Linked DNA regions of Rhinolophus ferrumequinum. The protein of the gene in region 1 interacts with the protein of each later gene in a biochemical or structural test. Links are inferred from orthologs where the notes say so. Each region holds a gene or a part of one and is shown in the gene's direction. Other genes may lie near its edges.

What was found.
Region 2: the proteins of CREBBP (region 1) and UBE2I form a complex in vitro, tested with the Homo sapiens proteins (2 studies listed by BioGRID, with this or other methods). The link is inferred for Rhinolophus ferrumequinum from reciprocal best matches to the Homo sapiens genes CREBBP and UBE2I.
Region 3: the proteins of CREBBP (region 1) and MYOD1 form a complex in vitro, tested with the Homo sapiens proteins (4 studies listed by BioGRID, with this or other methods). The link is inferred for Rhinolophus ferrumequinum from reciprocal best matches to the Homo sapiens genes CREBBP and MYOD1.
Region 4: the proteins of CREBBP (region 1) and HOXB6 form a complex in vitro, tested with the Homo sapiens proteins (2 studies listed by BioGRID). The link is inferred for Rhinolophus ferrumequinum from reciprocal best matches to the Homo sapiens genes CREBBP and HOXB6.

The regions. Positions count from the first base shown.
Region 1 is NW_022680357.1:5,205,657-5,213,507, reverse strand, and holds the start of CREBBP (CREB-binding protein), read left to right. Parts: upstream 1-4,835; 5' UTR 4,836-5,677; coding exon 5,678-5,762; intron 5,763-7,851. UniProt on the Homo sapiens protein: Acetylates histones, giving a specific tag for transcriptional activation. Mediates acetylation of histone H3 at 'Lys-18' and 'Lys-27' (H3K18ac and H3K27ac, respectively).
Region 2 is NW_022680357.1:3,163,339-3,170,676, forward strand, and holds the start of UBE2I (SUMO-conjugating enzyme UBC9), read left to right. Parts: upstream 1-4,332; 5' UTR 4,333-4,474; intron 4,475-7,338. UniProt on the Homo sapiens protein: Accepts the ubiquitin-like proteins SUMO1, SUMO2, SUMO3, SUMO4 and SUMO1P1/SUMO5 from the UBLE1A-UBLE1B E1 complex and catalyzes their covalent attachment to other proteins with the help of an E3 ligase such as RANBP2, CBX4 and ZNF451.
Region 3 is NC_046294.1:36,066,238-36,073,419, reverse strand, and holds MYOD1 (myoblast determination protein 1), read left to right. Parts: upstream 1-4,176; 5' UTR 4,177-4,328; coding exon 4,329-4,958; intron 4,959-5,427; coding exon 5,428-5,506; intron 5,507-5,795; coding exon 5,796-6,046; 3' UTR 6,047-6,732; downstream 6,733-7,182. UniProt on the Homo sapiens protein: Acts as a transcriptional activator that promotes transcription of muscle-specific target genes and plays a role in muscle differentiation. Together with MYF5 and MYOG, co-occupies muscle-specific gene promoter core region during myogenesis.
Region 4 is NC_046304.1:34,459,967-34,467,783, forward strand, and holds HOXB6 (homeobox protein Hox-B6), read left to right. Parts: upstream 1-4,810; 5' UTR 4,811-5,154; coding exon 5,155-5,569; intron 5,570-6,594; coding exon 6,595-6,854; 3' UTR 6,855-7,479; downstream 7,480-7,817. UniProt on the Homo sapiens protein: Sequence-specific transcription factor which is part of a developmental regulatory system that provides cells with specific positional identities on the anterior-posterior axis.

The DNA.
Region 1 (7,851 bases):
TATGTTGGACAGGATCAAAAACTGTCAAATATTGGCAGTTTCATATGGTTCGACTTAACAAAAATCCACATTTTACAGGGTAATGATACACACCAACTTCAGTAGAGTGGTGACTTTGGTGGAGGGAGACAGGAAATAGGGGGTAGCTTCAGCTCTGTCTCTGACATGTTATTTCTTAAATAAGTAAAATAAAGATCTGAAGCTGGTGTGGCAAAATGTTAACATTGTGTACCTTAGTCACGTAGACAGAGCGTCTATGTATTATTTTCTACTTGTTTGGAACTTTTCTTTTTTTTTCTTTTTTTTTAATTAAAGTTTATTGGGGTGACAATTGTTAGTAAAGTTACATAGATTTCAGGTATACAATTCTGTATTACATTATCTATAAATCACATTGTGTGTTCATCACCCAGAATGAAATTTTTCGTGAGAAAAAATCAAAACCGTGAATGGTAGCAAAGGAAGCAAGTTGGCCCCTCCTTACCTCATTCTCTTGGCCCCTAAGCATTCTGTAAGTGGGGTTCCTTGGTCCTGTAGCCTCTGGGATTGACTAGAGAGGGTGAGGTCTGTGGTATAGACAACTTGGTCAAGCAGTTTGTCTGGGAATGGAAGAGATGGAGCCGTGTAAGGGTTCCCTGTGGAGGGTAATAAACCCTCCAGAGGAGTCATTGGGGGAGGGGGTAAAGGTTCTGGACAGGGGAGGTGGGAAGGTAGGCCACAGAAGAGAGGGGTGTGTTCCTGGGACGGGGAGAACGTGAGGAGGAGCTGGTGTGGGAAGAGGGTTGTGGCCTCTGTGTGCAGCCCACTGGGTGTGAGGTGTCCACTGGGGTCCAAAGCAGGAGGCAGCTGATTGTGCAACTGGAGTGTGGGGGGAAAGCCTCTCCTCTTCAGTTTCCTCTTTTTCTAGTTCAGTCTGTGAATCTCGGTCTTCGTTTACTGTGTGCCAGTTCATCCCTCAGCCCCCAGTTGGGAAATCCCAGTCACATCAAATCTACCCCTCCTGGAGCCTTCCTCCTGGCACCACCGTGCCGATCTCTGTGTGCTCCACCAGCTGGCCCCTTGACTTGTTTCCCTCTGTTGGGAGCCCCTGCCTCCCTCCGTCATTCCTGGTCTCTCTTCCTTCTTTCTAAATTGATATGTTAAAAACAAGCTTTATTGAGTTATAATTCACATACCATACAATCCACCCATTCAAAGTGTAAATTTCGATGGTTTTTGGTATGTTCAGAGTTGTTCAACTATCATCATCATTAATTTTAGAACATTTCATCACCCCAATATCCTTTAGCTACTACCATCCACTATCTCCCCTCTCTCCTCAGCCCCTGCCCCCACCGCCGCCCCCGCAACCACTACTTTACCTTCTGTCTCTGTGAATTTGCCTATTCTGGACATTTCATATAAATGGAAACATATAATATATGGTCTTTGGTGACTGGCATCTTTCACTGAGCATAACGTTTTCAAGGTTCATTCAGGTTGTAGCCTGTGTCAGTGCTTCATTCCTTGTATGCCTGAATACTATTCCATTGTGTGGATGTAACACAGTATGTGTATCCATTCATCGGCTGAGGGATTCAAATGGACTTCTCTCAGGAAATCTTTCCTGATTGATTTCTACCTTCTGTTCCTCTGCTGGCCCCTCCTCACCTCATTCTCTTGGCCCCTAAGCATTCTGTAAGTGGGGTTCCTTGGTCCTGTAGCCTCTGGGATTGACTAGAGAGGGTGAGGTCTGTGGAAAGAGCAGGCAGCCTTAGGTTTGCAATCCAGTTGAGCCTAGGGTTTCCGGGTGGAAATTCCCGCCCATTCTCATGAAATTTTTTCACTTGCCCGTTCCCAAATCCCGAGAAAAGTTGGTCGGGAAATCGGGAAAATCGGCTCCTTGAACCCAGCTGGTTGGTAGTATTGGCTGTCACTTTGTGGAAAGGATTCATCATGGAGAACAGAAAACAGTTTATATCTTGGGATTCGGGAACGGGAAAATGAAAAAAACTCCTGAGAACGGGCAGGAATTCCTGCCTGGAAACCCTAGTTGAGCTTCTTAGTAACTGAGTGACTTGCCCTCCTCTGTGCTTTATTTCCTCATCTATAAAATGAAGACAATGATATTTCCTTCCAGGATTGTGGGAAGTGCTGATCCAAGTGCAGCATGTCGCAAAGTGGCCTGACATACAGAAGGGACTCAACAGTGTTGGGTCCCTTTTATCTATGTTGACCTTGATCCCCAGCTAAGGATGTGCAGGCAGACAGCTAACTTCCTTGCTATTCCCCTATCAATTCTGAGCACAACGTTTTTGGAAGAGTCAAAACAAGGGGAGAAGAAATAGGAAAGAAAAAGCAGATGTCAGGAAATACCAGAGGAATTGATCAAAATGATACAAATGAGACATGTTTTAATGTTGAACGTGGTCAGGGAGGAGCATGTGATTGGAGTTTGAAGACCTGTGTTTCTGCCTTGGCTCTGACATATCCAGGCCATTTACCTCTGGGTCATTTGAACTGGGTCTCCTCAGTTTCCCTCTCTGTAAAATGGGGCACGACCTGTGTCATAGTTGCCCACGGATGGGGGTATGCTGCAAGTTCATGTGCACATGGCTGTGTAAATAATTTACTGAGGGACCCTGAGGGCCAGGTGGTAACCCTACTGAACCAAGGTAGACCCTGACTGAGGCTTCTCAGTGACCTGACGTGTTGTCTCCTCTGTGGGGTTGTGGCCTGGAACTGCCTCGGGCTGGAGCCCACCTTTCTCAGGAGCCTGGAGGCCTCTAGGACTCAGGGGGCACTGAAAGCCTTGGGGAGTCAGGGGACCTGACAGTGTTTATTCATTTTCATTCACTCATTCACTCATTCATTCATTCATTCATTCATGTTACAAACCTACTTCTTGGAGGGCACTGTACATAGTAAGACATGGCCCTTTCTCTCAAAGGGCCCGCAGACTCATCATGAGAGGGACACACATGGTACATTCAGGTATAGGATGCTGCCAGCCCTATGTTACTCTGTGACTCGATACACTTCCTGCCTGGCTCTGCAAATTGACTTCTTACATACTTCTGTTTATGGTTTCCAAGGCTTGCTACTTGGCATCCTTGAATATATAGGGATTCCTTTCTTTCTTCTTTACCCAAACGATTAGCCCAACGGCAGTGACCTCAGGAGTTTCTCAGGGATATTTGATGGATAAATAAAACATGAATGGATAAAAAAAATAATGACATACTGTGGGATGTGTCCTCATAGAGGTATGCCCAGAGTGCTGTGGGAGTCTTTAGGTGGGCTAGGAGGGCTTCCTGGAGTAGGTAACATTTGAACTGGGTCTTGGAGGGTGAGTTAGAGTTTGCCAGACATATATATTCTCAGCACAGGGAACAGTATTTGCAAAAATACATAAAGGCCTGAATGATGAGAACTTCCTAATGGCTGAGCAGGTGAAGGGACGTGATGGCGGAATGAGGGATGGAAAGTGGAAGGGACAGAAGCAAGGGGTGGGGGCAGTACAAGATTTTGAGCAATATAAATAGAAAAAAGTAGATCATTCAGTCTTGACACTGGAAGACAATCTCTTTTGGTACACATATTTTAAACAGACTATACACATGTTCTTTTTTTATTTTTTAAAGACTATATATATAGTTTTTGTGTGTGTGTTTTGTTTTTCCCTATGTGTAGGAGTTATTTATTTTAAACAGAGTTCTTTCCGTTTTTTTCCAGGAAGTTAACTCTGGTGCTGCGTGGGGAGAAATGTAGAGCGCAAGGGACGTTTAACTGGGAAGCTGCCACCCGGGCGATGCTGAACGACTCTGGGACAGTGGGATGGGGAGGAAGAGCCGTTTCCCCAGGTAAAGGACGTGGGCAGACTGGCTGCACGGTGGGTGGAGAGAGAGAGGGAGGAGTCTGAGTTGACTCACAGGTTTCTGGCTTAGGAAACAGGGTTGCTGGTGATACCTTTCAGATAAGGACTTCGGGATGAGGCGCCAGGCAAGTCGGAGGAACAGATAAAACTGGGATGCAAACCTTAGATTTTTGTGGAACTGTCCCGCGGGGAGTGGCTATACTAGCCGGACCCCACACCTGTCTGGATCTCCTGCGGAGTTCCCAGGGCCCAAGCCCGGATGTAAGGGGCCATTTGGGCCTGGCACAGGCTGGCCGCGCCCCAGCCCAGGGTAGGAACAGCGCTCACCACCTTCCCTTGTAGGTGAGGAGTCGGCCCCTGGGACCCCGTCGCATTGGGCTGGGGAGCAGGGGCTCAGGAGTTTTGCGTCCCCTTCATTTTACTTTGACAGCGGAAGTTCGAATCCCGGCCCTGCCACTTCCTGCCTCAGTTTCCCCATTTGCACAAGCTCGCAGGCGGACCTAGGGCGGTCTGTAACCTGTAGAGGCCACGACAGATCGCTGGCATCCGGCAAGGGGAAGTGACCAGGCTTGGCTCGTGTCGCCCTGGACATCGCGGGCAGGGAAGTGAGGAGCCGGGACCCGGCAGAGTCGCCCCAGAGGGACGGACAGGCCCGGCCGGTGCCGACTCTGCGCCTGGGGTCCGGTCCGCGGCCAGGCGGGGCCCGGCAGCCCAATCGCGGTCAGAACAAAAGTGTCCGCCGGGCCCGGCGTCCGTGGTCCCGTAGGCCCGGCCGCCGCCCCGCCGCGCAACACACCGCAGCCGCGCCTTCGGCCCTACTACCCGAGCTCGCTCGGCTCTTTCCGCCGGGCCGGCGCAGGTGGAGGGGGCGGGGCGGGGGCCGTGCGTGGTGACGCCGCGGGGGGGTGACGCACCGGCGTGCCCCGCCCCCTCCCCCTCCCCGTTCAGGCTCTGGAAAGAGAAGAAAAAAAACTTTCTTTTTTTTTTAATTGAGGAATCAACAGCCGCCATCTTGTCGCGGACCCGACCGGGGCTTCGAGCGCGATCTACTCGGCCCCGCCGGTCCCGGGCCCCACAACCGCCCGCGCACCCCGCTCCGCCCGGCCGGCCCGCTCCGCCCGGCCCTCGGCGCCCGCTCCGGCGGCCCCGCTCGCTTCTCGGCTCGGCCTCCCGGAGCCGCGGCGGCGGCGGCGGCGGCGGCGGCGGCGGCAGCGGCGGCGGCGGCGGCGGAACGGGGGGTGGGGGGGCCGTGGCGGCGGCGGCGGCGGCGGCCCCGCTTCGCGCATTGTTTTTTCTTACGGCGGCGGCGGCGGCGGCAGCGGCGGGCCGCGGGCAGAGAGCGGAGCCCGGAGCCCCCCGGTCGTCGGGCCGCGAGCGAATTAATTAAGTGGGGCGCGGGGGGGGGGGAGTGAGGCGGCGGCGCGGCGGCGGCACCATGTTCCCGGGGACTGCCTGAGCCGGCCAGCCGGGCGCCGTCGCTACCAGCCGGGCCCGTGGGGGCGGCCGGGCCGCCGGGGCGCCCCCGCCGCGGAGTGTCGCGCTCGGGAGGCGGGCAGGGGATGAGGGGGCCGCGGCCGGCGGCGGCAGCGGCCGGGGGCGGGCGGTGAGCGCTGCGGGGCGCTGTTGCTGTGGCTGAGATTTGGCCGCCGCCTCCCCCACCCGGCCCTGCGCCCTCCCTCTCCCTCGGCGCTCGCTCGCGGCTCGCCGCTCGCGCTCGCTGCTCTCCCTTCGTAGCCGGCTGGGGCCGGCGCCGACCCCCGCTCCGGAGCACTCGCTGGTCCCGCCGCCCGCGTTCGGGGCTGTTTCAGCGAGCAGGTGAAAATGGCCGAGAACTTGCTGGACGGACCGCCCAACCCCAAAAGAGCCAAACTCAGCTCGCCCGGCTTCTCGGCTAATGACAGCACAGGTGAGGAGGGGGCTGAGCGGGGGTGGGAGCCCCGGGGGTCGCTGTCAGATCCCCCCGAAGGTGAGTGTCCTCCGGAGAGCCGAACTCGTTGGCGGGCGTGCGGAGCTCCCCGAAGTGGAGGCCGGCGCAGCCCCTTCCCCGAGAGCTCCGCCAGAGACGGGAAGTTTTTAGGAAGACTGTCGTGGAACCCGAGTTGGGCCTCACATGCCCGGGTGTACTCGGGTTCCCCGGAGTTGGTGGACCTTTCTCGCGTGGAAACCGAGTGGTACTTCCAGGGAGAAAAAGTAAAGAGGAGATTGTTTGTTTTGCGTGGTGATTCCATACTCCTCCCTCTGCCGCCGTGTGTCGACACACGCGTGGCTGTCTGGAGGGATGACAGCAAAGGGTAAGTTTGACGGATAGAGAAGCAAATAGTGCCGCCGAAAGGGGACCCCAAGTGTTTTCTGAATTGGTGACACATTCGCAACGCTGTGACCAGAAGACACTCAGCAACAGCCAGATTATGAGTTACGACTTAGAAGTTTCTTGGAATGTGCTCTGTGCTCTTTGGGAGCACATTAGTAGTTATCTTGAAAACTCTCGTTGTTTGGTCAACCGAGTCATTCCATTTTCCACAATCCCAAACTTTGTTAGCAGGATGTTCTAAAAGTTACTGTGGTGTGTTTAATTTCACATGTATAACCTTAAAAAAAAGTTAAATAGATTCATTTGGGCTGCAATCGCCATTTGAGCTCGTGTTACTTTTACAGTGTAGATGTATGAAAAATATTAGGGAACACAGGAATTACGGTTTTTCAAAAACAATTCTTTTAGCAGGATACTGAATAAATCTTTTTCTCATTAAGCAGCTTCCTGTAAACTTCCTTAGGTAATCATTATCAATTGCCTAAGAGAAATATTTTAGTTTTCTATTCATTTAATAATTCTGGGTTCTTCTGGGCTGGTTCATGGTAGCATTATGAACTAGTTGTATTTCCTCTTTTAGAGCTCTCCTTGGCAGTAAGAACTTGTCGCCTCTGGGAACAGTTCTGTCTCCGGGCGCAGCTTGCATTTTTCCAGTACGGCTTTGCAGTAGCAGCATCTGAAAATCAGTTTATAATGAATGAGTCCAAATTGAATTAGATTTGCTGCAGCAATGCCTTCAGATTTGCAGTAGACACAGCTGTTCAGCTTCTGCAAATATTTTTGTGACTGACCACTAGCACATTTCTACTCGTGGTCTAAAAATCTATTTCTGCTATTGAAACAGAGCTTGAATTTTATGGCTTTGGTTTTAATACAATTCCTAGAATATTCGTTAATGTAGAAGTGAGAGAAACAATTTACGTAAAAATCTATCAAGGAGATTGTTGTTTAATTAAAATGAAATTCGTTCTACAGTGGGAAAGAGTAAATAAGTGTCATGGGATATGAAAGTTACTAATACTCTTTTAAGAACTAATAAAGAGTTGAGTTTGATTTTAGTCTTGTAAAATCGCCTTACCTGAAGTGAGAAATGTGGAAACAACTGTGATTTAAATGCTCTTTTACTGCAGATCTCCTTTGCTTCATTAATCTTGCCTTTTTTGAGTGAAAAGTCTTTAATCATATGAAAAGTAGATCATACCAGGCAAGTTCAGCTTTGAAGCTTGTCTCTGAAACTGGTAACTTTTTGGATGGCTTTGCAACTTTGCTACTGTTGAATGAGGTTATTGCAGATTTTGTTTTATACAGAGGAACAAATTAACACAAGACTTAACAAAAAGGTTGATCTACTACTGTGTTTCCCCGAAAATAAGACTTGGCCAGACAATCAGCTGTAATGTGTCTTTTGGAGCAAAAATTAATGTAAGACCGGGTCTTATAGTAAAATAAGACAGATCTTAAATTATTTTTTGCCTCAAAGGATGCATTAGAGCTGATTTTCCAGCTAAGTCTTGTTTTAGGGGAAACACAGTATATACATCTTGCTGTTTCCAAGATGGAGCCCAAAGGATGGCCTTTTGGGTAGTTCCGTTGTTGAATGGTCAGATACTTAATGTGCTGCTAAGTACATCAAAGTTTATCCAAAAGGATTTTCCATTCTTGCCCACTTTTTCCCCCTTCCTTT
Region 2 (7,338 bases), about 2.0 Mb from region 1:
GCGGCCTCAGCATCCCAGCTTGGGACCACTAGAAGGCACTCCTGTGTCCTGTGGGGCCAGGCCAGGGTCAAGGAGTCAGGCAGAGATCAGAGGGGTTCCCCAGCCCTTTGGGGTCAGAGGGTTCCCTTGGGGAGCTTGGAAAGGGAGCCCCTTGGAAGGGGGGCTGGGCACACCTGGAGATATCTGTCTCCATGGTCCGAAGGTGCACATGCCCGTGGTGGCACTTCCAGAACCCTCCGCTTAGGCTCAGCTTTGGTCCAGCATCTTCCCCGACACTCCCACAGCCAAGTCAGTGCTACATAGGAACATTGTGTGAAAGGCTCTACCTAGCTAGTCTGGGCTGCAGGGCAGGAAGAACCCCAGAGCCCCAGGATGTGGCCTCGGCACAGCTGGAGCAGAAGGAAGCAGAGGGCCCCAGGGCTGGGATGGAGGAGATGGAGGCTGTGGGGAGGGGACGGTGCCCCCCCTTGCAGTCCGCATGCACCCCCCCCAGAGTGGAATGTGGGGCTCCTCATCCTTCAAAGACAGTTCCCAAGCTCAGGGAGACAGGTCCAGGCCCTCATGGGCTCCCTCAGGCCCCCAGCCGTCTCTCCTTCCAGACTTTTCCACAGCAGCTGCACCATTTTACATAACCAATGCACAAGGCTTCCGATTTCTCCACATTCTTGCCAACGCTCGTTGTTTTCCATTTTTTGATAGTAACTATCCATTGGGCGTGAAGTGGTATCTCCTGCTGGTTTTGATTTGCATTTCCCTACTGACTAGTGGTCTTGAGCATCTTTTCATGTGCTTTTTGGCCATTTGTGTATCTTCTTGGAGAAATGTCTATTTAGACCCTTTCCCCATATTTGAATTGGTGTTTTTGTTGTTGTTGTTGAGTTGAAGGGGTTCTTTATATATTGTAGATATTAACCTCCCTTATCAGATATGTAATTTGCAAATATTTTCTCCCTTTCTGTTCATTGCCTCTTTGCTACTATGAGTCCTTTGAGGAACAAAAGTTTTTAATTTTGATGAAATCCAACTTATCCGTTTCTTTAGCTGCCTGTGCTTTTGGTGTCATAGCCAAGAAATTATTGCCAAATCCAGTGTCATGAAGATTTTCCCGTTTTCTTTTCTAAGAGTTTTATAGTTTTGGCCCTCACGTTAGGCCTTTGAGTTAGTTTTGTATGTGGTGTGAGGTAGGAGTCCAACTTCGTTCTTCTAGATCTTTCTTTTTAAGCCAGCCCCTGAACAATGGACCCTGCACACAAACCTTCGTGCCCACAGCTCGGCCCCCTGGCGAGAACCCAGGGGACAGGGTACTGCCCCTACTCTAGGCAGCTCCCAATCACACTTACCACTCCCTCCCCACCAGGTGGCCACATGACCTGGTACAATCAGCTTGAATCCTTCCCCCGTTTTATATTCACTGATTCTGCACAAAGCCTTCTGCAAACCTGTTTCTCCTTTGTACTCAGGGAGCTGGACCCAATCAAATCCCCCCTCCCACTGGAAGTGCTTCACTTTGGACACACAGCAAACTTACCAGCACATTGGAAATCTCATTCGAGGTCTGGTCCCCACTGCCTGTTCCAACTGCACCCCGTACCACCATCCCCCGGCTTACCCTGCCCTAGCCTCTCGGCCTTTCCTCACCCCACCTCCAGCTCCTGACCCCAAGGCTCTTCCCCCAGCCCTCCCAACAACTGGATGTTGCTCTCCCTTCCTGTTTCAAGGTCACCTCCTCAGAGACCTCCCTGACCACCCTACCTAAACCAGGTACTTTAATTATTAGTGTGTAACAAATTACCACAAACTTAGCAGCTTTAAATAAAGCACATTTATTATCACAGGTTCTGTGCATCAGAAGCCCAGGCTTAGTGGGGTCCTTTGCTCCAGGTCTCCAAAGTCTGGGGTGGCATTCTCCAGTCCTCATCTGAGGCTGAGGGACTTCCTGCAAACTCACTGGTTGTGGCATTCTTCGGCTCTTTGTTATTGAAGTCTCAAGGTCCCTGCTTTCTTGCTGGCTGGCTTGCTGTTGGCAGAGGGCCATTCTCAGCTCCTGGATGCTGCCCCAGGGCCCTGCCATGTGGCCCCGTCTACAACATAGTTTCTTCAAGGCCAGTCAATGCTGGATAAATGCTTGTGAACTGACTGATGAATGGATGGCTCAGGGGCCATCACTGAGAACGTGTGTGCCAGATGCAGGCTCCTGGGCTGACGATACCAGATCTGAGGTAGCTTCCCTGCCCTCTTCCAACCCACCCTCCTGCTACACGCTTCCTTCTCCATCTACCAGTCCCAACATTCTCCTTCCTGCATGAGGGACTTTGGGCCTCACACCCCTTTTCACCAGGATGGAAGTTCTCTCTGCTGGACGACTCACCATCTCCAGTTCCACACACAAACATGGAACCCAGGACCCTGAGTCTCCTGCTCCACAACCTTTCATGGCTCCCCATGGCCCACAGAATGTGGAGGCCCAGGCCCTCCACGACACGCCACATCCAGGCCACCAGCTGCGCCCTCCCTCTGCCCCCTGGCTATGCTGAGCCCTCTTGGGCTCCTGGTTCTTCTCTTGACTCCAGCAATGGCCACCACCTTTTACTGGCCATTTGCGGCGTGCCTTCCCCAAGCAGCCCTGTGCAAACAAACCTCCTGGCACCCGAATGAGAAAGATGGCATTGGTACCTAAGGCCCATGCACCTCAGCAGGAAGCTGGTTTCTTCCAGTGTAGCTCAGCTGAGGTGTGTGGCAGGCCTCGCCGGGGCACTCATTATATAAGGCACACTTTGAGGACTACTCAGAGCTGGCCAACCAGGGCTGGGGAACCAGAGAAAGGGTGTCACAGACAAGCCCCTTGATGCTTCTGGCACCCCGAGGTTGAGAACTATAGCTGCCTGGGTGAAGCAGGCAGCGTCCCCAGGCCAGGCAGATACTGAATCATTGTGGGGACCCAGGAGAGAGCAGCCTCTTTGGAGTTCAGAGTCTGGGAGGGATTTGGAACGCTCACATTCTGCTCAATGGCGCCGGAGGGGCCCTCCGGCCTTTGTCACCTGGGACCCCAGTCCCTATAGCCACGCCTTCTCTCTGGGCCACGGCTGACCAGGAGGTATCGTAGGCAGACCCCCAATCCAGCCAAGCAGAGCCACCACACCCAGGAGACCCTCAGCTTCATTTTACTGCCCCAGAGTAACAGGATGGCTAGGAGCACATGGAATTCGTCCACTCAGAGCACTGGGCCAGATGTGGGACATAGTACACCGGACCTATGGTCCAGCCCCTGGGGAAGCCAACAGTCTCTGAGCACAGGGCCAAAAGAGGCACTTGGGGGTGTGGGGGGAGGGCCAGAGAAGGGAGATGGAGGGAGGGAAGGAAGCAAAAAAGGGAGGGAAAGGAGTAAATGCAAATCGCTGGGGTTGTCCAGCACCCCCCGCTGCGCGGCTAGGGTCAGGCGCCCTCCACACCCATCGCGGCCTGATCCCTAAGCGCCCACGGGCGGAGCGGGCTGACCTTGGGAAGCGCCCTCTCCCCACCCAGAGCTGGGGTTTGGGCAATGAAGCTGGCCCTGGGAATTGGCCCGACGGGGAGATACTCAGCGAGGCCAGGAAGGACCAGCGTTCACACAAGGGCTGGGGGTGGACCCCCAGACCCTGACTGCAGGAGCCGGGCAGGGGTCCCAGCCCGCACCTCGGCCTCCCGCTCGCAGCCCCTGCGCCCCTCCCCCTCGGCCAGCCCCTGGGTTAGGGAGCGTCCGCACTTTTCCTCCCGTCGGTCGGGCAAGCTCTCGGTCGTTTGTATGGGGTCAGCTCATTGGGACAATTCGATGGACGCCCCGCCCAGCGCCCCGAACCGGCCAATTGTAAGGGGTTTCACAGACGCAGTACTCGGAGGATCGTCACCGTGCTGCGACGCTTCTGGGGATCCGTAGGCCTCAGTGGTCTTTGTCCCCCGGCCCTGGGTCTTAGCCCCAAGGAGACCAACGGGACCCGTGCCCAGAAAGGTGCCCACGAGGCATCTGGGGCGCCCTTGGAGATCTCGGCCTCCTCTTTCTCCTGCTGCTCACCGGCGTGTCCTCGAGTTGACGCGCGCGTCGCGAAGGGGAGTTTGTAGACGCTCCCTGACATCGGGGACGCGGCTCCTTTAAGGGCCCAGGTGTCCAGAGCGCCGCCTGACTGGAAAATCGCCCCCGGGCCGGACTCCCTGGGCAAGCCCGGGGCGTGGGCGCGCAGCAGCGGGTCGCGGGCGGCGGGCGGCGAACGGCGGTATGGGCTGCGCTGGGCGCGGGGCGGCGGCGGCGGCGTGCAGAGCAGGCATGCGGCGGGCAGCCTCCGCAAGCCCCGCCCGCGCCCCGCCCGCGCCGGGGTCCTCGGAGCGCTCGGGCTGCGCGCGGAGCGGGCTCGGGAGGGAAGTCCCGAGACAAAGGAAGCGCCGCGCCGCCACCGTCGCCGCCGCCTCGTCCGCCTCGCTTGCCGGGCTGCGGCCGCCCGAGGTGAGCACGGGCGGGGGGCGCGCAGGAAGCGGCAGCAGGATGGGGGCCGGGCCTCGGCTGCGCGGGGCTTCTGCCGCCGTCGGGCCGGGCGGGCGGGCGCCCCTCCACCCCGCGAACCCTTGGGCCCCGACCTCCGCCCCCTGCGCGCCCCGGGACCCGCCCAGGCCCCTAAGCCCGGGAACCGTCCGCCTCCGAGCAGTTGACGCCGCGGGTTACGGCCCAACTCTGCTGCCCCGGCCTCGGCGTCGCCCCGGCCTTGCTCCCTCGGGCTCCCGTCGCCTTCCCTTGTGAAAGTGGGGGGTGTCCCCTCCGGCGCGGACTCGCGGTGCGTCCGGGGAGCCGAGGCGGGGTTGACAGGCGCTTCCCTCCTGCGAGGGACGTGCGTTTCCGGGGTCACGGCTGTGCTCACAAACCTGTGGCGCTTTCCAGCCGGGGAGAGAAGGCCCAGCAGAGAGAGTTGAAAGTCTTGGATTGCAAAATCGCTGGCTTGTTTGGGGGATTTGCGTTTGATGTCTACAAACCAAAACAAGCCTGAGTTTTCCTGCGCCTCTCGAGAGCTCCTCTTGTCGTTGGTGGGACCCTGCCCGGCGGCGCTTCGCCGGAGGCAGAATTGTTTTTCAGGTTGCTTTGTATCAATTGAACAGAGGTTGGAATTGGTGGTTTCGTGAGTAGGAGGGAAGGGAAGGGAATGATTGATTAGCTGGGCTCAGGATCACGGCCTGCAGTCGCTCCTGAATCACAGTGTGAACTGGTCTGGTTTGTATGCTTGGAAAGTGTGCTTGGCTCCGCGGTTTGCAAAGTTACTGTACTGTGTTTGCAAAGTTGGCTTTTTGTTGCCTTTTAAAGAGGGTAGCCACAAATGTTTCTTGCCATTCAGGAAACGTTGCCTTTAGGTAAAGGACCTACCCGACAGAAAAGGGAGATGGATCCTAATTTGTCCTAATTTGTTTGCGGCCTTTTGGGTGGCTTAGGGGTGAATTCTGCGTCCTGCTGCACCTTTGTCTGGTTAGAGTCCGTGTTTGGGACCTTGCTTCAGAAACAGCCTGGGGTCCTGGGAGGTTTGTCAAACGAGAACAGGAAGTACAGCCTGGGCAGAGGGTGTCCTGAGTGCAGGTTGCTTGGGTGAGGCAAGAGAAGGCTGTTCCCCTGGGGGAATTTGTGGGCGTGTGGAAAAGGCCCATCCAGGGTTTTTCATGCACTATCTGTTTCGTCTTGGGCAAACCTGTGGGGTCTGAGTACCACCCCCCCCCCATTTTACAGGTGAGGAAGTTGAGGTTGGGGGAGACGAGCAGCTTGCCACACTCCCACAGCCAGTAAGAAGCTCTGAAGTCCGTGCTGTCAACCAGCAGAGCTGATCGGAGAAGAACAGGTTCAAGGACAGCCCGTTACAGGGCCCTGGAGGAAGGTGGAGGGCAGACCTCCCTCCCGCTTGGTGAACTCGGCCTTTTGTCCTGCGGGCGTCTCTAGTAGTTCACGGATATGTTCTATTTGCATCTGCAACTTTGCTGCTCTGAAGCATCTCGTAACACATAACGCTCCTTAAGTGCCTGTCTGTTCGCTGGGGAAGGCAGGTTCCGTGTTAAGTGGGATTCTGAGTGAGCGCTTCCTAGTGTTGTAATTAAAATGTAATATATTGGCTGCTTTCTCCTGGACCCTGGGCGGCCCGCAGGAGCGGAAGCACCATCTTGGAGACCAGGCTTCTGCCTGGGACAGTGCTGGTGGGCACCTGTGGCTTTGTGCCCTGATGGCAGAAAGTCTTACTGTGACCTGGCCTGGTCCCTCGGCTCCCCTGGGAGGGGGGCTGCAGGAGCTCCTGTGGGACTACCCCTCGTTGACCTTTCACACCTGGGACCGCCACAGCTAGGCACTAGGTGGGACAGGGCCTCCGTGGGCAGCTTTGCCCGGTCTTCAGAGCAGAAGAGGCGCGGTCCTGGCACATGGGTGGCAGGCAGGCAGTTCACCCTACTGAGTCGTGGCCTGGGCTCGGCGCAGTCCCCCCCCCCCAGAGCACTGGGGGAATTGTGTGGACGCAGGTGTCCATGGCTGCTCCGTGTTCCAGAGCTGGCCTGGGGCTTCAGAAACCTGTTTTGATGCCTAGCCTAGCTCAGACTTGCTAGGGACCTTTGCCTCACTTAAACAGCCGCTTACCAGGCTGCTTGTCGTCGGTCACAGAACTGTGTTCATGAATTCAGCAGAAGCGTCCTGCCAGTCTGCGCTGTCTGCTTTGCCCTGGTCAGGGGAGGGGGGCCTGCCCTCTGAGGGCTCTGTCAGTGGGGAAGCCAGTGGGCAGCAGGCCTTTGGGGGCTAATGTGTGCTGTGCCCTCTGGCCCGGGGGTGGCCAGGGCATAGCTGCTGGCGATGTAAAGGTTGTTGGGTCGTTCATGTAGAAGAACCAGTTGAAGTGAAGGATTTGAGAAACTGAGAAATGAAGAGTTTTCAGACATCAGGGTTCCCGCCCCAGCCTCCCAGCCTGTCGTCACTGTCATTGCCCCCGTCTGAGCAGAGAGAGCCTTAAAGACAGAAGCCGGTGGGGCGCTCCTCTGCCCCGCCCCCTGCAGGCTCCCACCTCTGCCTGCGAGCCCACCCTGCCTTCCTCTGGCCCACATTGCCTCCTGCCTGAGGGCTGCGGGCTGTGCCCGGGGGGGCTGCCTGGCCACGATTTAAAAGCAAGTGCCTTCCCATTCCTGTCGCCCTGCTTTGCATTTCCTGGCACCGAGCACTTCCCAGCACGTGGCTTCCTCTCTTGGGATTCCCCCCTCCACACACACACACACACACACCCACGGCAGCGTCCCTGCAGGTTTGCTTACACCCCTCCCCGGGTTCAGGTCCATGGACAGGGAGGAAATGAACAGACCCAAACC
Region 3 (7,182 bases), on another chromosome or scaffold:
AGGTGGTGGTACAACCAGGAGAGTGACCCTGAGCAGGCACGGGTCCCAGGCCTGGAGGGGTCTGTCACGGTCGCTGAGTCCAGTGAGTGCCACCCTGTTTAAGCATCAGAAACTGCGTAGCAAACAAAATCCCACTTGGAAATCTAATATAAAAGTGGCATGCACCACTAGCATGTGTGTGGTTTCATAACAGTGCTTCCTAATTACTGAAGATGAAACTACAAATCAAGTGTAAAACTGTCAAAGCATTTTAGATTTCTAAGCCACTAGCGATAAAATATTAAATGCGTTCAGTAAGCTCGAACATATAACATTTATTTACTGTAGAGTCACCTTGATGATGGCGCTGAGGTGATTTTTATGAATGCAAAACACGAAAAGCAAGGTTGTAATCATTTCAGTCTCGGTATCCAAATTATTTCTATGTTTTCTTTGCTTGCTCAGGTCTGAGAAGTCTAGATTCGTACGGATAAGTGGTTTGAAGAGTTCACTTGGAATCTCAGGGTACTCTTCAATTAAACGGTTTGATTGATTCATTCATTCATCCAACAAGTATTTATTGAGTGCCTACTATGTGCCAGGCATTCTGCTGAGGCTTGATAAATACTTGGTTCAATCTAAATCACCAATGTCACATTATTTATGTTCCTCATTGTGAGTGTAAGTCAAATGAAAAAAGACAATATTAAAGCAGGCCATGTATAATCGCTCAACCTAAAGGAGCATGTCCCAGCCCCGTGGGCCTGAGTCTTGCCTGGAAAAAGCAAGTATGACTGAGCATGTATGTCTAATCATGTATGCGACTATCCAGTTTAGAAGGAATACAACCATCCACCTTAAAGACATGTTTCAAGAAGTTCAAATATATGCATAGAAATTCAAAGGGCATGAGGCCACGCATTCATTCATTCAACATTTATCAAGTTCCTACAGTGTGATAGCCACTGTGATGGTTTCTGAAAAGGCCATGGTGAATCAAACATCCCTGCCTTGATGGGACTATGTCAATCAATGAGCAAACGAATAAAGAAGATAACTAAAGAGCGGCTGTGCTAAGAAAGACCTGAGCAGGGTGATGTGATGCAGCTGTCCTAGAGAGGATGTCTTAGAGACATCCCAAGGAGGTCACGTTTGAGCTGAGACGTGATATATAAAAAGCAGCCGATGTTGGGAAGAGCCTGGAAGAGACTGCGATAATCAGCGAGCACAAGGCTCCAAGTGTTGGAAGACAGGAAGGGAGGTCATGCTAGAATGGGGTGACCAAAGAGAACAGTGGTTCCAGGTGAAATTGCAGAGATGGGCTGAAGGCAGGTCGTGCAGCGCCTCACAGGCCAGGGTGAAGAGGTGAGATTTTATTCTAAATGCAATGAGAAGCTGTTGGGGAGTTTGAAGCACAAGAGGGATATAATCCCATTTATGCTTTTAAAGGATGACTCAGGCTGCTGTGTAGTGAATGGATTATACAGGGGCAAGAGTGGAAACGAGGAGAGCATCCCCTACTGGGGTCACCCAAGCCAGCAGTGTGGCAGCTTAATCCAAGGTGGTCACACTGGGGATGGACAGACTTGAGAGATGTCTTAGAGGTCAAATGGACAGGTCTTCCACATGACCAGATCTCCCTTCTGGAATGCCAGCCTCAGAAATCCCCCTGCCTACCTGTCATCACCACTTGGATATTGAATACTTATTTCAAATTTTGCCCAAATTTGGACTCTTGGCAGACTTACTCTTCCCCAACTTCATTCTTTCAGAAGTCAACCCTAACTCCTCTTTGTCTCACTGCCCACATCCAATTACGAATACATTTTGCTGGCTCCCTATTCAAAATATATCTGGAATTCAAATACTTTCACCATCTCTACTGCTGACAGCCAGATCTAAGCCACCATCACCACTCACTTGGGTTATTGCAATAGTCTCCTAATCGGTCTCCCTGCTTCTGCCCTTGCTCTCCATAACCAGTATCCTCCTATTAAAATTAAGTCCGATGGTGACATTCTTCTCTTCTCCTGAAGCCCTCCAGTGGCTTTCCATCTCAGAATACAATTCCTTTGCTTTCTGTCTGACCCATCCCCCACCACTCTCCCACTTGCTCACCCTGCTCTAGTCATACCAGCTTCCTTGCTGCACTTTAAGTCTGCCAAACAGTCTTGCCCAGGACCTTGGCACATGCTCTTCCCTCTATCTGGCTCCAGATATCTGCTTCTGCCCTCCTTTCATTCAGGTTTCTGCCCAAATATAATCAGCCCAGAGAAATAACTTTCATCACTTTGTTCCTTTGCCTTGTTTTCTTTTTCTTTGTAGAACTTATAACCTCCTGACATTATATACTTCCTTGCTCATTCGTTTATTGTTTGTCACCCTACCCTAAAATGAAAGCACCATGAAAGCAGGGTCTTGGTTTTGTTCATTGCTCTGTCTCCAACACCTAGACAGGTACCTGGCACATAATGGATGTTCCATAATGTGTTAAATGAATAAATGAAGGTGGTTTTATGGAATGAAGGGACTTGAGCACTTCACGAAGAAGACCTTCAGCACTACCACAAGTGGCAGAGAAGTTAAGAAGGCAGGGCTCCAAGAGAGCCCTCGAGGTTTGATGGGAAGGGAGGACTTCCCAGCACCCAAGGGTCAGTTAGGACAGATCCCAGAAGTTAGTGGGAGAGGCACAAAGATCACTCTTGCTTTTATCTCTTGGCTCTAGGAAGAGAGACCTCAGTAGGTGTATCTGGTTCAAGGGAGACCTCTAGCCAGAGTGCAGAGAGGAAGGTGTGAACTGCAGAGCAGACCTATGGGGGTAGGGGGACCTCAGGCTTGTGAGGAAGCCAGAGATGCCATGGAGTGGTTGCCTCCTCCTATCCCCAGTCTCTGCAGTGGGCCTGCTGGGAAGAAATGCAGCTGCGGCCTCTGGGAGCTGAGCCCTAAGATTACATGGGCCCCTGGCAGGGCTCTGTGCCCCAGCTAACAGCTGGGAAGCCCACAGAGAGCACACCAGCCAACCGGTGCCAGCAACAGAAGCAATCCCTCTTGCTAGTATAGCCTTACATCTCAGACTGAAGGCTTCCACATCTTTGGTCTCCAGAATCTCACCACCGACCACCACAATCACTCTAAGAGATTGCTGTTGTTGTCCTCAATGGGTAAACAGGATCGGAAGGCGAGTGACTTGCACAAAATCACGCATGAAACTGGGGGTCTGGACTCGAACTTAGGTCATTGGTCTGTAAACTCCACCCTCAAAGATTCCACTCTGGAGTCTGGGCTTTCCAAGCCTTTGCGCGATGAACTTTCCTGATGCAGCACTGCGAGGCGGAGGCAAGCCCCAAGGAGATGGCGTTTTCTTCCCAGCCGAAGAGGCATCTCTGAGAGCAGCACTGGACACCTGGCTGCCAAAATGCACAGTTTGACTCGGGCAGGCGTCCACTTCCCTCCCTCCCTCCAGGCCGGGGCAGGAGTTGAGCTTGGAAAGATTGGCATGAAGCTTTAGTAGTGATCCTGGACTCCTGTATAAATGAGACTGGATTTCTAAGCGTCCAGGGAAAATGAGCAGGAACTGGCCTAATGGCATGGTCACCACGTCCACTTTATCTCAGTTTTGCCTACTTGACTCTCGGGTCTATCTCTCATTGCGCGTTTCTCCGCCTCTGACTCCCCAGCTTTCTGCTCGCTAAATGTCTCAGCCTCTTGCATATATCTCTCTCACTATCTCAGCTCTACGTGTGTCTCTACCCCATTGCTATGTGTCTTTCTCCAGGTCTGATTTCTACTCCTACTCTGCTTTGGGTCCCCCGCAAATCAGAGGACAGAGGGGCCCAAAGTCAGCTGGGAAGTGAGAGCCCGCGCGGCCAGCGTTTTCCGCAGAGATAGGAGGAGTCCTGTGCTGGAGAGGGTTGGGAAGAGTGTGCCCGGGAGCCAAGTGTAGCAGCATTGGGCTGCCAGCCTCTGCCTCCTTTCCTGCCTAGGGAGGAGCCGGACCACGCGCGCGCGCGCGCGTCTAGGGATCGGGGCCTGGCCAGTCTCTAGCCCCTGCGGCCACCCTGGGGATCCCAAGCTCCGCCCCGTCCCGTTCCTATTGGCCTCGGGCGCCCCCGCCCCCAGCCGCCCGCTCCCGCCCCCGGCGCCTGGCGTGAAAATAGGGGTGGAGAAGCCCCAGGGAGCTGCCGCTACTTTCCGCGGAGTCCATCAGGCGGGACAGGACGGGGCAGGGTACTGGACGGTCAGACCCCCAGCATTTCGCTATCGCGCTGCAGGAGACCCGAAGAAAGTTTCGGGCAATCCCTGCCTCCGGGGTTGGGCGAAGCCAGGACTGCGCTGCTCCCCGCCGGGATATGGAGCTCCTGTCGCCGCCACTCCGCGACGTAGACTTGACTGGCCCCGACGGCTCTCTTTGCAACTTTGCCACAACGGACGACTTCTACGATGACCCGTGTTTCGACTCCCCGGACCTGCGCTTCTTCGAGGACCTGGACCCGCGCCTCGTGCACGTGGGCGCGCTCCTAAAGCCCGAGGAGCCATCGCATTTCCCCGCGGCCGTGCACCCGGCCCCCGGCGCGCGCGAGGACGAGCATGTGCGCGCGCCCAGCGGGCACCACCAGGCGGGTCGCTGTCTACTGTGGGCCTGCAAGGCATGCAAGCGCAAGACCACCAACGCTGACCGCCGCAAGGCCGCCACCATGCGCGAGCGGCGCCGCCTGAGCAAAGTCAACGAAGCCTTCGAGACGCTCAAGCGCTGCACGTCTAGCAATCCTAACCAGCGTCTGCCCAAGGTGGAGATCCTGCGCAACGCAATCCGTTATATCGAAGGCCTGCAGGAGCTGCTGCGCGACCAGGACGCCGCGCCCCCTGGCGCCGCTGCCGCCTTCTACGCGCCCGGCCCGTTGCCCCCCGGCCGCGGCGGTGAGCACTACAGCGGCGACTCGGACGCGTCCAGCCCGCGCTCCAACTGCTCCGACGGCATGGTAAGGCTGGAACCCCGGGCTAGAAGAGAAGTGGGGACAGCTCTCGGGAGTATCTGGGAAGCCATTCCGAGGGCGGGGAGCTAACTGACCCTCCAGGGAGAGGTTTGGACAGGAGTGGACCCCTTGTCCCGGGCAGCTGCCACTGGGGTGGCCTAGTGTTTTGGGAACACATCGTACAGATGCAATCCACTCGATGGGGAGCACTGTTAGAACACCTCTGCGCCGTGGTCTGCTTTTTCTACACTTGTCCTTATTATCAAAATTAAGATTTGTAGCCCTAGGTGACAGTCTGCCCTCTATTTGGCCCTGCATACTGCAGACAGCTCCTGCCCACCCTTACCCCCACCCCTATCAGGGCAGGAAATTCGAGGGTGAGATTTGGGAAGTTGTGGAGGGGCGGCCAAAGAGAGTGATGTTCCAGGCTCGCCTGGTCCCACGGGCCTGAGTCGGTCGCCCTTGCCGTTTGCAGATGGACTACAGCGGCCCCCCAAGCGGTGTCCGGCGGCGGAACTGCTACGACGGCACCTACTACAGCGAGGCGCCCAGCGGTGCGTATTCGCGCCTCCTCACGTTACTCTTTGACCTGCCCTAGCTTCCCTTTATCTAGGATCCCTGCCCCATCCCTCCTCCTCCCTCCACACACACATCATGGCAGATGGCACAAGGAAGGAAATACTAAGCATGTAGCTCCCTCTCTTTTCGCTCCCCACTCTCTCTGGATAGCCCCAGACAATGGCAGGTCCTCAGTTTCCCGTCTGCCGCAAAGGACTGGGCCCAGAAGTTGGAGACTTGTCCGCGGCTCAACACCTACATACTAACCTACCCTTCCCCGCGCAGAACCCAGGCCCGGGAAGAACGCTGCGGTATCGAGCCTTGACTGCCTGTCCAGCATCGTGGAGCGCATCTCCACCGACAGCCCCACTGCGCCCGCGCTTCTGCTGGCCGACGCGCCGCCGGCGTTGTCTCCCGGCCCACACGAGGCCGCCGCCCCGAGCGAGGGCGATCGCAGCGCCCCCACCCCTACCCCCGACGCCGCTCCTCAGTGCCCCGCGGGCGCCAACCCCAACCGGATCTACCAGGTGCTCTGAGGGTGTGGGCGGCCGCGTCGGAGGACGTCGCTGTCCACCTGCCCGAGGGATGGTGCCCCTAGGGTCCCTCGCACCCAAAAGATTGAGCTTAAATGCCCCCCCCAACTGCGCTTTTAAAGCGACCCTTCCCAAGGGAGGATAGGCAGGAGAACTGATGTGTCTCCTGCCTCCCGCACCCCAGGGCAAGGACACAGCCCGTTTTTTCCACGCAGCACCCTTCTCTGAGACCCGCTGCGATGGCCGTTATGTGTTCCTCGGTGGGCCACAGATGACTCTGGAGGGGCCAGGCCCTTTCTCTTCCTCGACACTTTCCCCCATGGGGGTGGGAACCGCGCCGACCCCAGTCCCTTGACGCCGAGGTCGCTTATGGGGGCGTGGCCTCTCCTTTTGCTAGCCCCGAAGACACGCGCTCTTTCCCACAGCCAGCGGGGTGCGCTCAGGTCCCAAGTGTAACAAGTGTAACGGTAACCACTCTCACCCCTCCCCCTGTTCAGGACCACTTTTTTGTAATACTTTTGTAATCTATTCCTGTAAATAAGAGTTGCTTTGACAGAGCAGGAGCCCGTAGGGCTGTATTTATCTCTGAGGCATGGTGTGCGGTGCGACAGGCACTTTGTATGTTTATACTGCAGCGGGCGAGCCGCGGGCGCTCGCTCAGGTGTTGGAAATAAAAACGCTAATTTATACCGAGGTGGCTCCGGCTTTCCCTAGGGATGGGGGCAGGATTTTGAGGGGACGGAAAATCCACAAAGGAGTACCGCAACTAGCCCTGTAGGCGGCAGGTGGATTGCAAGGAGGAAGCCTGAGGTCAGGAGAAAGAAGCGATGTGCCTCCCATACGTGGGGAGGTTTCTAAGACGGTGAGGAGCAGCACCACACGCAGGTCAGTGGTTCTCCTGTCAGGGTGCAGATTAGAATGATCTGAATAGTTTTCAAAAAGACCCATGCCTGGTCTCCTCGCCACCAAAGGTTGTGCTTTAAGGTATCTGCCCCAGAACCTCAGAGTTGGTATTTTTCAAAAGCTCCCCATTTTTCAAAATGCAAGGTTGAGAATCACACGCCTCCATACACAGAGTGAACCCAGGTGTGGTGTCCAGAAGGATCACTGGGAAGTAATGGCCCCAGGTGCCACTCAGA
Region 4 (7,817 bases), on another chromosome or scaffold:
CCGGCGCCTGATTTCATTACCCAGCCAGGCCTCCTGGAGGGGGCGTGGGGGTGGGGGGAAGAACCTTCGGGCCAGAGACTGAGATTCCTAAAGTAGCTGATTGAGTGCAAGAAGGCACAAGCCGCTAGGTGAGGATTTGAAAATAGAGTGAGAGGGCTTCTGCGGAAGCTGTAAGCCAAGAGATAAGAGACTTTGGGCGCGGAGGGCAAGAGAGACTGATTTAGTTTTGTTTGCATGAATAGGTGATTGCTTTTCTTTTTTTAAAAAGACCAGAGGCAGAGCGTTCAGCCTCGGGCCTCTGGTTGCCCAGCGATTGCGGGGTCTGGGGATGTGGAGGGCAATATTGGTCCTCTCAGTCCTGAGCTGGGAAGAGAGGGACATAGCCACTTGTAGCGCGGGAGGGGGCCCCTGGAGGCCCAGGTAGATGCCCTCCCAGCCGGCCTGGACTGGATGCCTGGAGGGACCCCTCGCTGCGTAGCCAGAGAAGTTCTCAGTCAGCACCCATGGCACTCGGAGCCTATTCTCAAAGGAAAAAATTCCCCAAACCCACCCAGACTAAAGATCTTTTTCTCCTGTAGTCTCGACGGGGTATAAATCATCCCTTAGACAGTTTGCTCTGACCCAAATTATGCGGTTTGCTGCCATCTACCGTCCGTTTGGAGACATGCGGCTTCGGTAAGCCCCGCGACGCTGCCTGAACCACGCCGGACGCCTGGAGCCTGGCGGCTCAGGTTCCGTGGGATTTGGTGGAATTTGGGCCCAGATTGTCGCTTTCCGCTGGATTTTGGTTCCCGCCCGCCGGCGTGTGGATTAGAGAACAAGAGTCCCCTAACTGCTCGCCCGCCCTATCCCGGTTCCAAACCTGGCGGCTGGCTGGGGAAGCAGTTTTTTTCTAGGACATATTTAAAGAGGACTAATACTGCATCCCGCGGGCAGGGGGCCCTGAAACGAAGGGTTGGGGAATCGCTGTCGTGAGCCCCCACCACCCCCCACCGCAGGTGGGAGAGGGGATTATCCGGGTCGCTCCGAGATCCGAGGCCAAGGCTGTTCAAGGTTTATTTGGTTTTCTTTTCGGCCAAGGGAGGGTCCAGCTGAGGAGGCGCCGGCCCGGCAGTTCCACTCGGTTGTCAAAAGACAACCGGGTCTGTGTTCTCCCGGTTGGCTTGTGGGTCTTGGCCAGTCCCTTGGCCGGTGAGTCCGTGACGAAGGAATTGAGCCGAGTTTTCTGGAAACTGATGGTGTCTGCAAGTGAGTGTGGGCCCCTCCCTCATTCTCGATCGTTTCAAGCGAAATCGACTCAAATATGCTTTGGGGGAAAATTGGGAGTAGGAGTAGAGATGAATCATTAAGGAACCAAACCAATCATTAAGGAACCTAACCATCGTAATTTCCGTTCCTGCCGGACCCTTCACACCCGCTTTCCCAGAAGGGGTGGCGAGGGCGGGGGTCCTCGCCTCTGCTGCCGCGTTTGAATATTGGCCCCTGTCTCACGGGTTACTGATTAGCCCGGGCTTTCAAGCCGCAGGAGGAAGCTCTGGCCATTCCTTTCAAGGTGCTGTGGCCCTGGTTCCTGGGCGGGGGCTCCAGGAAATTGCCTGTAGTGCCAGGCAGGCCGAGGTGTTACCAGGGCCTGGCCCGGGAGCTGGAGGAGCTGCCGAGGTCCAGGGGCCCAGCGGTGCTGGGGGCAAACACGGCGGCTGTCGTCGCGGGGTGAGTCTGGGCCGCAGGGGAAGCCCTTTCAGCTTTTCCGCAGGGAGAATGACTTTCTGGCGGCTAGAAGGCGCGGCCCAGGGAGGGAGGCCCCGAGGGAGCACGCCCCGAAAGTCTTGGGCCCCTCGGGATTTTTTCTTGTGGGCAATCCAAAGGACAGATATGGAAGGGAAGGCGTCTGGTACAGTGTTGAAACAGTTCAGGGCTCTTAGGGTGCCGGCAGACCTGAGGGGGTGGGAACAGGGAGAGCGAGCTGAGCACCGCTGCCCTCCCCACCGGTAGAGCTGGGACATTGCCGCTCATTTGCATAATGGAAATTATGTCTTTGTACCGCTCTGGACCGGCCCATTTTTAGGGCCTGTCCCATCTAAACAGCTCCCAAAGGTTGGGGGAGGCCACACTGCTCCCTCTGAGAACATTTATGTTCCTCAAATCCAGAGAATCACAGATTTGGGTTGTGATGTTTTAATTCGCGCCATCGTAGTCAGAGTTGGGAAAGTGGTGGGGGAAGGTGCCCACAACCCAAAGAGCTGGAGGTGGTGGGAGCTTTGTAGCTGAGAGGAGAAGGGAAGCCTGGACAATGTCTCAATCTCCCCTCCCCTCCACATACATACAGGCAAATACCCCTCCCTGAGGTTGCTGGTACAGGAGAATTTTACTCCTGAGCTGAACACAACCAAGACATTTCCCTGGGAGCTGGAATGTGTGCATCCATAGGAGCGTCGATTTGCAGCACAGAAAACTACAATTATAAATCCTGCCTGTGGGGTTTCTGTACCATCCTTCTGTTGTGTACTCAAGACTTGGTACACATTTATATCCACCTCCCCATACACAAGCTATCTCATGGAGGCAGGGAGAGACACCCCACACTGGCAGATGGGCTGTGTTGCTGTGTATTTACATATCCCCCCTTGGAGACAGACAGATGTGGGCGGCAGTGGACCGAACCACAGACAGATTCTAGAGATCTGGCTCCAGAAACCAGGCGGTCTCTGGCCCAGCTCTGCCTGCCTGCTCGTTCTCCCAAACAAACGGATCAGAGGAATAAACGCTCATAAATACCTCTGAGCTTAGATAAGAGCGATGAGGCGCTATTTCCTTTCATGCCGGACTCCAGGCGCCCAGGCCCTGCCTTTGCGGCTCCATCTCAGGACAGGCAACCTGCAGAGGTGAGGTTAATTTGGGGCTATGACTCTAAGGATAAGGCAGTTATTTTCCTGCTTCTATATCACAGGGGAACCTTACTTTGTCCAGGCTCCACACGCAAGACCAAACCTGCCAGTCCTAAGATGAGGACATTGTGGTCAGGAAGGAGGCAGAGAGGGCTGAGGCCCAAGGTCCAGCCTCAGTGGCAGAGAAGGGGGAGGTGTATCTAGGCACTCTCCCATCTTGCTCCCCCTGCCCAAATATTCCCCATTCCTCTTCAGGAGTGGGCCCAATCACAGCTAGATTGGAACATTTATGATTTTCCCTCATTAGGAGGCTTGAGTTTTATTTTCTTAAATCTTGATAAAATGGCCATAGAATCAGGCTGGGAAGGGATCACCACTTGGTCATGAAAGTGGAGCCTAGAAATTGTCCTGAATTTAGGAAGCCTTGTAGGCCACTTTACAACCATTCGCGTTCTTACCCTTAGTCACCAACCTCAGCCCTCTACTATTTTCCCTAGTGTCTTGTATCATCTTCAATGGCCAGAGCTGGCCCACCAAACGGAACCCAAAAGGCAAGGTAGAGAGGAAGCTCAGCTTGGCCCCTTCATCAGATTTTATCCCACAACCTGGCCCATTCCTGGCTCCAGGTCCAAAGGTAGTCACCTTGTACTGCCTGGCCACCACATGCATATTAGAATGTTGAAAAACACATTGTGGCTCAGGCCTCCAGCCTGGCTTTAATGTTGATTTTCCTTAGATGAGAGAGCCAGAGACATATACTCTCTCACACACCCAAACTTGAACCACACACAGCAAAGCTGGTGATACAAACGTGAGATGTGGGAAGGATTGTACAAGTGCTGAGACAGAAGGGGGGTGAGCATCTGGAGAGGGGATGCAGGCTGATAGTTGTAAGCTGCCTGCTAAGTCCCCAGGAGGACCCAAACACCCTTCCCTCTTTATAAAACCAAACCATAATCAAGTCTTGGGAAATAATTGATTTAAAAAAGAACTTCCAGCTTCTGAAGAGACTTGGAAAAGGTGCAAGGGTTCCTCTCTTCCCAGTGGTCTCTGATCGCCTCAAATATCAGGAGGGCTTGAGGACCCTAAACTGGAGGACCACTTTCTTCCCTACATCCACTTTCTGAGACAACCTTGATTCCTAAGAATCTGTAGCTCAGGATATTCTTATATCTTTTGGGCAAGACGTGGGGGTGGAGTGAGGGTTGCTGGCAGGATAGGGATCAGGAAATCTAGGCTGGGGGTCACCCCTCACACCTCCTCTCCATATCCCTAAGTGAGGAGAGGGCTAATCCCTTTCTCCAGTGCTCCTCCCTGTGCCAAGAGCAAGTGGTGCATACTAGAACCAGGCGAGATGTCTCCGGCAGCAGCAACCATAGCCTTCCAAAAAGCTCCTAGCCTAGCCGCAGAGCCAGAGGGAGAAGACCCTCCTCCTGCTTCCCTGCATCTCGGGTCTTCTGGGCAGCAGGCTCTGGCCTGCCCCACAGACCATAAGAGTTGTGGAGAAGCAGGAATAATAACCCTGGGTTTGGAGGAGACAGAGAAAATCTGAGAAACAGAAACAAACAAACAAACAAACAAAAAACGGTTTTCAAAACCTGGGAAGGAGATGGTTTCTTCTTCGACTCTCTTTCTGAAGACAAAGCTAATTAGCAGAGAACTCTTCTCCCCTTCGACCAACACAAAACCCTAGAAACAAACCTTCTCCTTTAGTTCCCTTCTAGCCAGATTGAAATTTGAGATTCAGGGATGGTTACCCACCCTTCCTTTGAGGGAATGGGACTTAAGCAACGCAGGGGTTAACTTTTCTGAAAACACAATTAACTTTTCCCTATTCTGCGTGGGGAGGGGAGGTTATATTTATTTAATCACTGGGGAGTGGGGTGGTCTCAACCCAAAGCTCCCTCCTCCCTCAAAGGCACAGACGCTTCTTTCGCAGATCCTACGTAGGTGGAACAGGACGCGTCGGGTTGTGGGGAGAGAGAGAGAGAAAGGAGAAGGAGGAAAAAAAGGTTGATAGGTTTGTGCGCGGGTCCCTCGTGCCGGCTGCGCTCCTCCTGGGTGCTATTTGACAATTCCTGCCTCTGCCATTGGTCAGTGTTGGATCAGATGGTTGTATTTCCTTCTGGCCCTCACTGGCACCTCGCCATCCCCCCTCAGCTAAAACCCAATCTCAGATATACTACTAATAGGCGCGGCGCTCGGACTATAAAACACAACAAATCATAAACCCGGCGGAGCAGCAGCGGCCGTGCGCGCCTCCCTCCCAATGAGTTCCTATTTCGTGAACTCCACCTTCCCCGTCACTCTGGCCAGCGGGCAGGAGTCCTTCCTGGGCCAGCTACCGCTCTACTCGTCGGGCTATGCGGACCCGCTGAGGCACTACCCTGCGCCCTATGGGCCCGGGCCCGGCCAGGACAAGGGCTTTGCCGCCTCCTCCTATTACCCGCCGGCGGGCGGCGGCTATGGCCGAGCGGCGCCCTGCGACTATGGCCCGGCGCCGGCCTTCTACCGCGAGAAGGAGTCGGCCTGCGCTCTCTCGGGCGCCGACGAGCCGCCCCCCTTCCATCCGGAGCCGCGGAAGTCCGACTGTGCACAGGACAAGAGCGTGTTCGGCGAGCCTGAGGAGCAGAAGTGCTCCACGCCCGTCTACCCCTGGATGCAGCGGATGAATTCGTGCAACAGTGAGTGAGACTCCGCCGTCGCTGCGACCCCTGCGGGCCCCCACCTCGGGAGACAGAAGTAGCAGCTCCCCATTCTCCAGCTGGATGCGGGGTGCGCATCTCAGTTAGGAGTGAAGGGGAGATGGGGCGCTCGCACTGGGGCTTCTGCTCTGGCCTCTCACCCTCAGTTGTTACAAAGTTTGCAAAGTCCCAGCCGCACTCGGAGGCAGGGTAGCGAGTGGGCTCTCGGGGGTGGCAGGCCAGAGCAGGGCTTGCGAGTCAGGGCAGGGGGCAAGGGCCGCAGTCATGCGCTTGGCTTTCCCTTGCGCCCCCAGACCTGGTAGGGTCCCCCATCCAAAGACTGTTCCATTAAAAACCGAGTGCGTCACGGGAAGGGGGGCGGCGTGACGCTGGCGAGGGAGAGTGGACTTGTCCCGGACTGTGTTTCCCTGGGGGCGGGGGGTTGGGGAAAAATGAGGAACCAGGAAAGGGGCGGTAGTCAGAAGACGGAGGGAGAATAAGGGGAAGAAGGAGCGGGGTAGCGGGCGGAGGGGGAAAGTGGCAGAAGCAGGCGCCTGGGTCTCAGGTTGGATTATTTGTCGGCCTTAAGTCCCAAATTGATGTCCATTAGCGGGACACGAAAGTGAGGAGCCGTTAATGCCGACTATGGATCGATCCACGTCATTACGGATTAAGGGCTGGAATCTATCACACGGTGGTGCGGGAGCTAGAAGGATGGGGAAAAAAAGATCTGGCCAGGAAGAGACACACCTGGCCAGTATACTTTCCCAGCCCCTCCCCCTAGACTCAGGTGGGATTTTAAACTGCTCCTCCCATCCCCCACCATAAGTCTAGACCGGAATCGCAGGCCTAGGAGACCCGGAGGGAATCTGGAGGGGGCGCTGGAGGGTGAGGGGGGTGGGCAGGGAATGTGAGATTGGAGGGCATCCCGGGACAGGCTGGAGTCCTTGTTTGAGAGTCGAATGGGGGAGGGGGACTCTAGCCCTAGTGACCTCAGGCCTCAGCATCTCTTCTCTGCGTAACAGGTTCCTCCTTTGGGCCCAGCGGTCGGCGCGGCCGCCAGACTTACACGCGCTATCAGACCTTGGAGCTGGAGAAGGAGTTTCACTACAATCGCTACCTGACCCGGCGGCGGCGCATCGAGATCGCACACGCCCTGTGCCTGACCGAGCGCCAGATCAAGATTTGGTTCCAGAACCGGCGCATGAAGTGGAAAAAGGAGAGCAAATTGCTCAGCGCCTCTCAGCTCAGTGCGGAGGAGGAGGAAGAAAAACCAGCGGAGTGAAGGCGCTGGAAAGGGAGGGGGGACGCGAAAGGAGAGGCCTGTGGGCAGCCGTGGGCATCGGAGAGCCCCGAGAAGGCTCTGCAGGCGGGGGAGCCCAGGGACCTGCTCTCCAGCACAGACAGGTGGGGCCCAGCGCTCTCCTGGACGCCCCCACCTGCAGAGCTCTCGCTGTGAGCTGGGAGGCTGTGCCTCCTGAGCCCACCCAGCACCCCGTGCGCCCCCTCTATCCGCGTGGAACCCGCCTCAGCCCGATCAGCCCCCCTCCAACCCGTGAGAACTGAGGACCGGACTCACTTGATGTTTCCTGGAAGCAGAGCAAAAAACACTCTTGTCCGTGTCGCGTCTCATTTCGTCCATGTCCCCCGTGCACGGTTTCAATGGTAGCTTCGCAGTCCCCTCAGCGGGGGCCTCGAAGACTCCCTAACCCCAGACCTCTCTCCTACCCCCTACCCCTCAAAGCCACTGGAAGGAGCACATACTACCTAGAAGTAAGAAGAGGAGCCTCAGAAGAAAACAAAGTTCTATTTTATTAATTTTCTATGTGTTGTGTTTGTAGTCTTGTCTTAGCTCGGGACGTGAAATACTTCGGTAATAATATTAATATTATTATTAATGATGATAATAAAGAAGTAAAAACTCGCCGCTCAGTCACCTCTGCTCGTCCCCTGCCACTTCCCCACCCCTACAGCCACCCTGTGGTCCTTTGCCGGAAACTCCGCAGCAAAGACAGGAGTCTGGTAGGCCCCAGCGGGCCCGACAGGACTCGGACGTTACAGTTCAGATAAAGGCTGGAGCCGTCCTGCCCATGCTCCGGCGCTGCGCCTCGCGGGTACTGAGGCTCAGAATGGCCTCTCCAAGGGCAGTCTTGGGGGACTGAGAAAGGTCGTTTCCCTCCTGTTCTCTAGCTTTTCCTCGTTTGTCCCTGGCACGAGGGACAGCACAGAGGCCTCCTAGCCAGGAGCC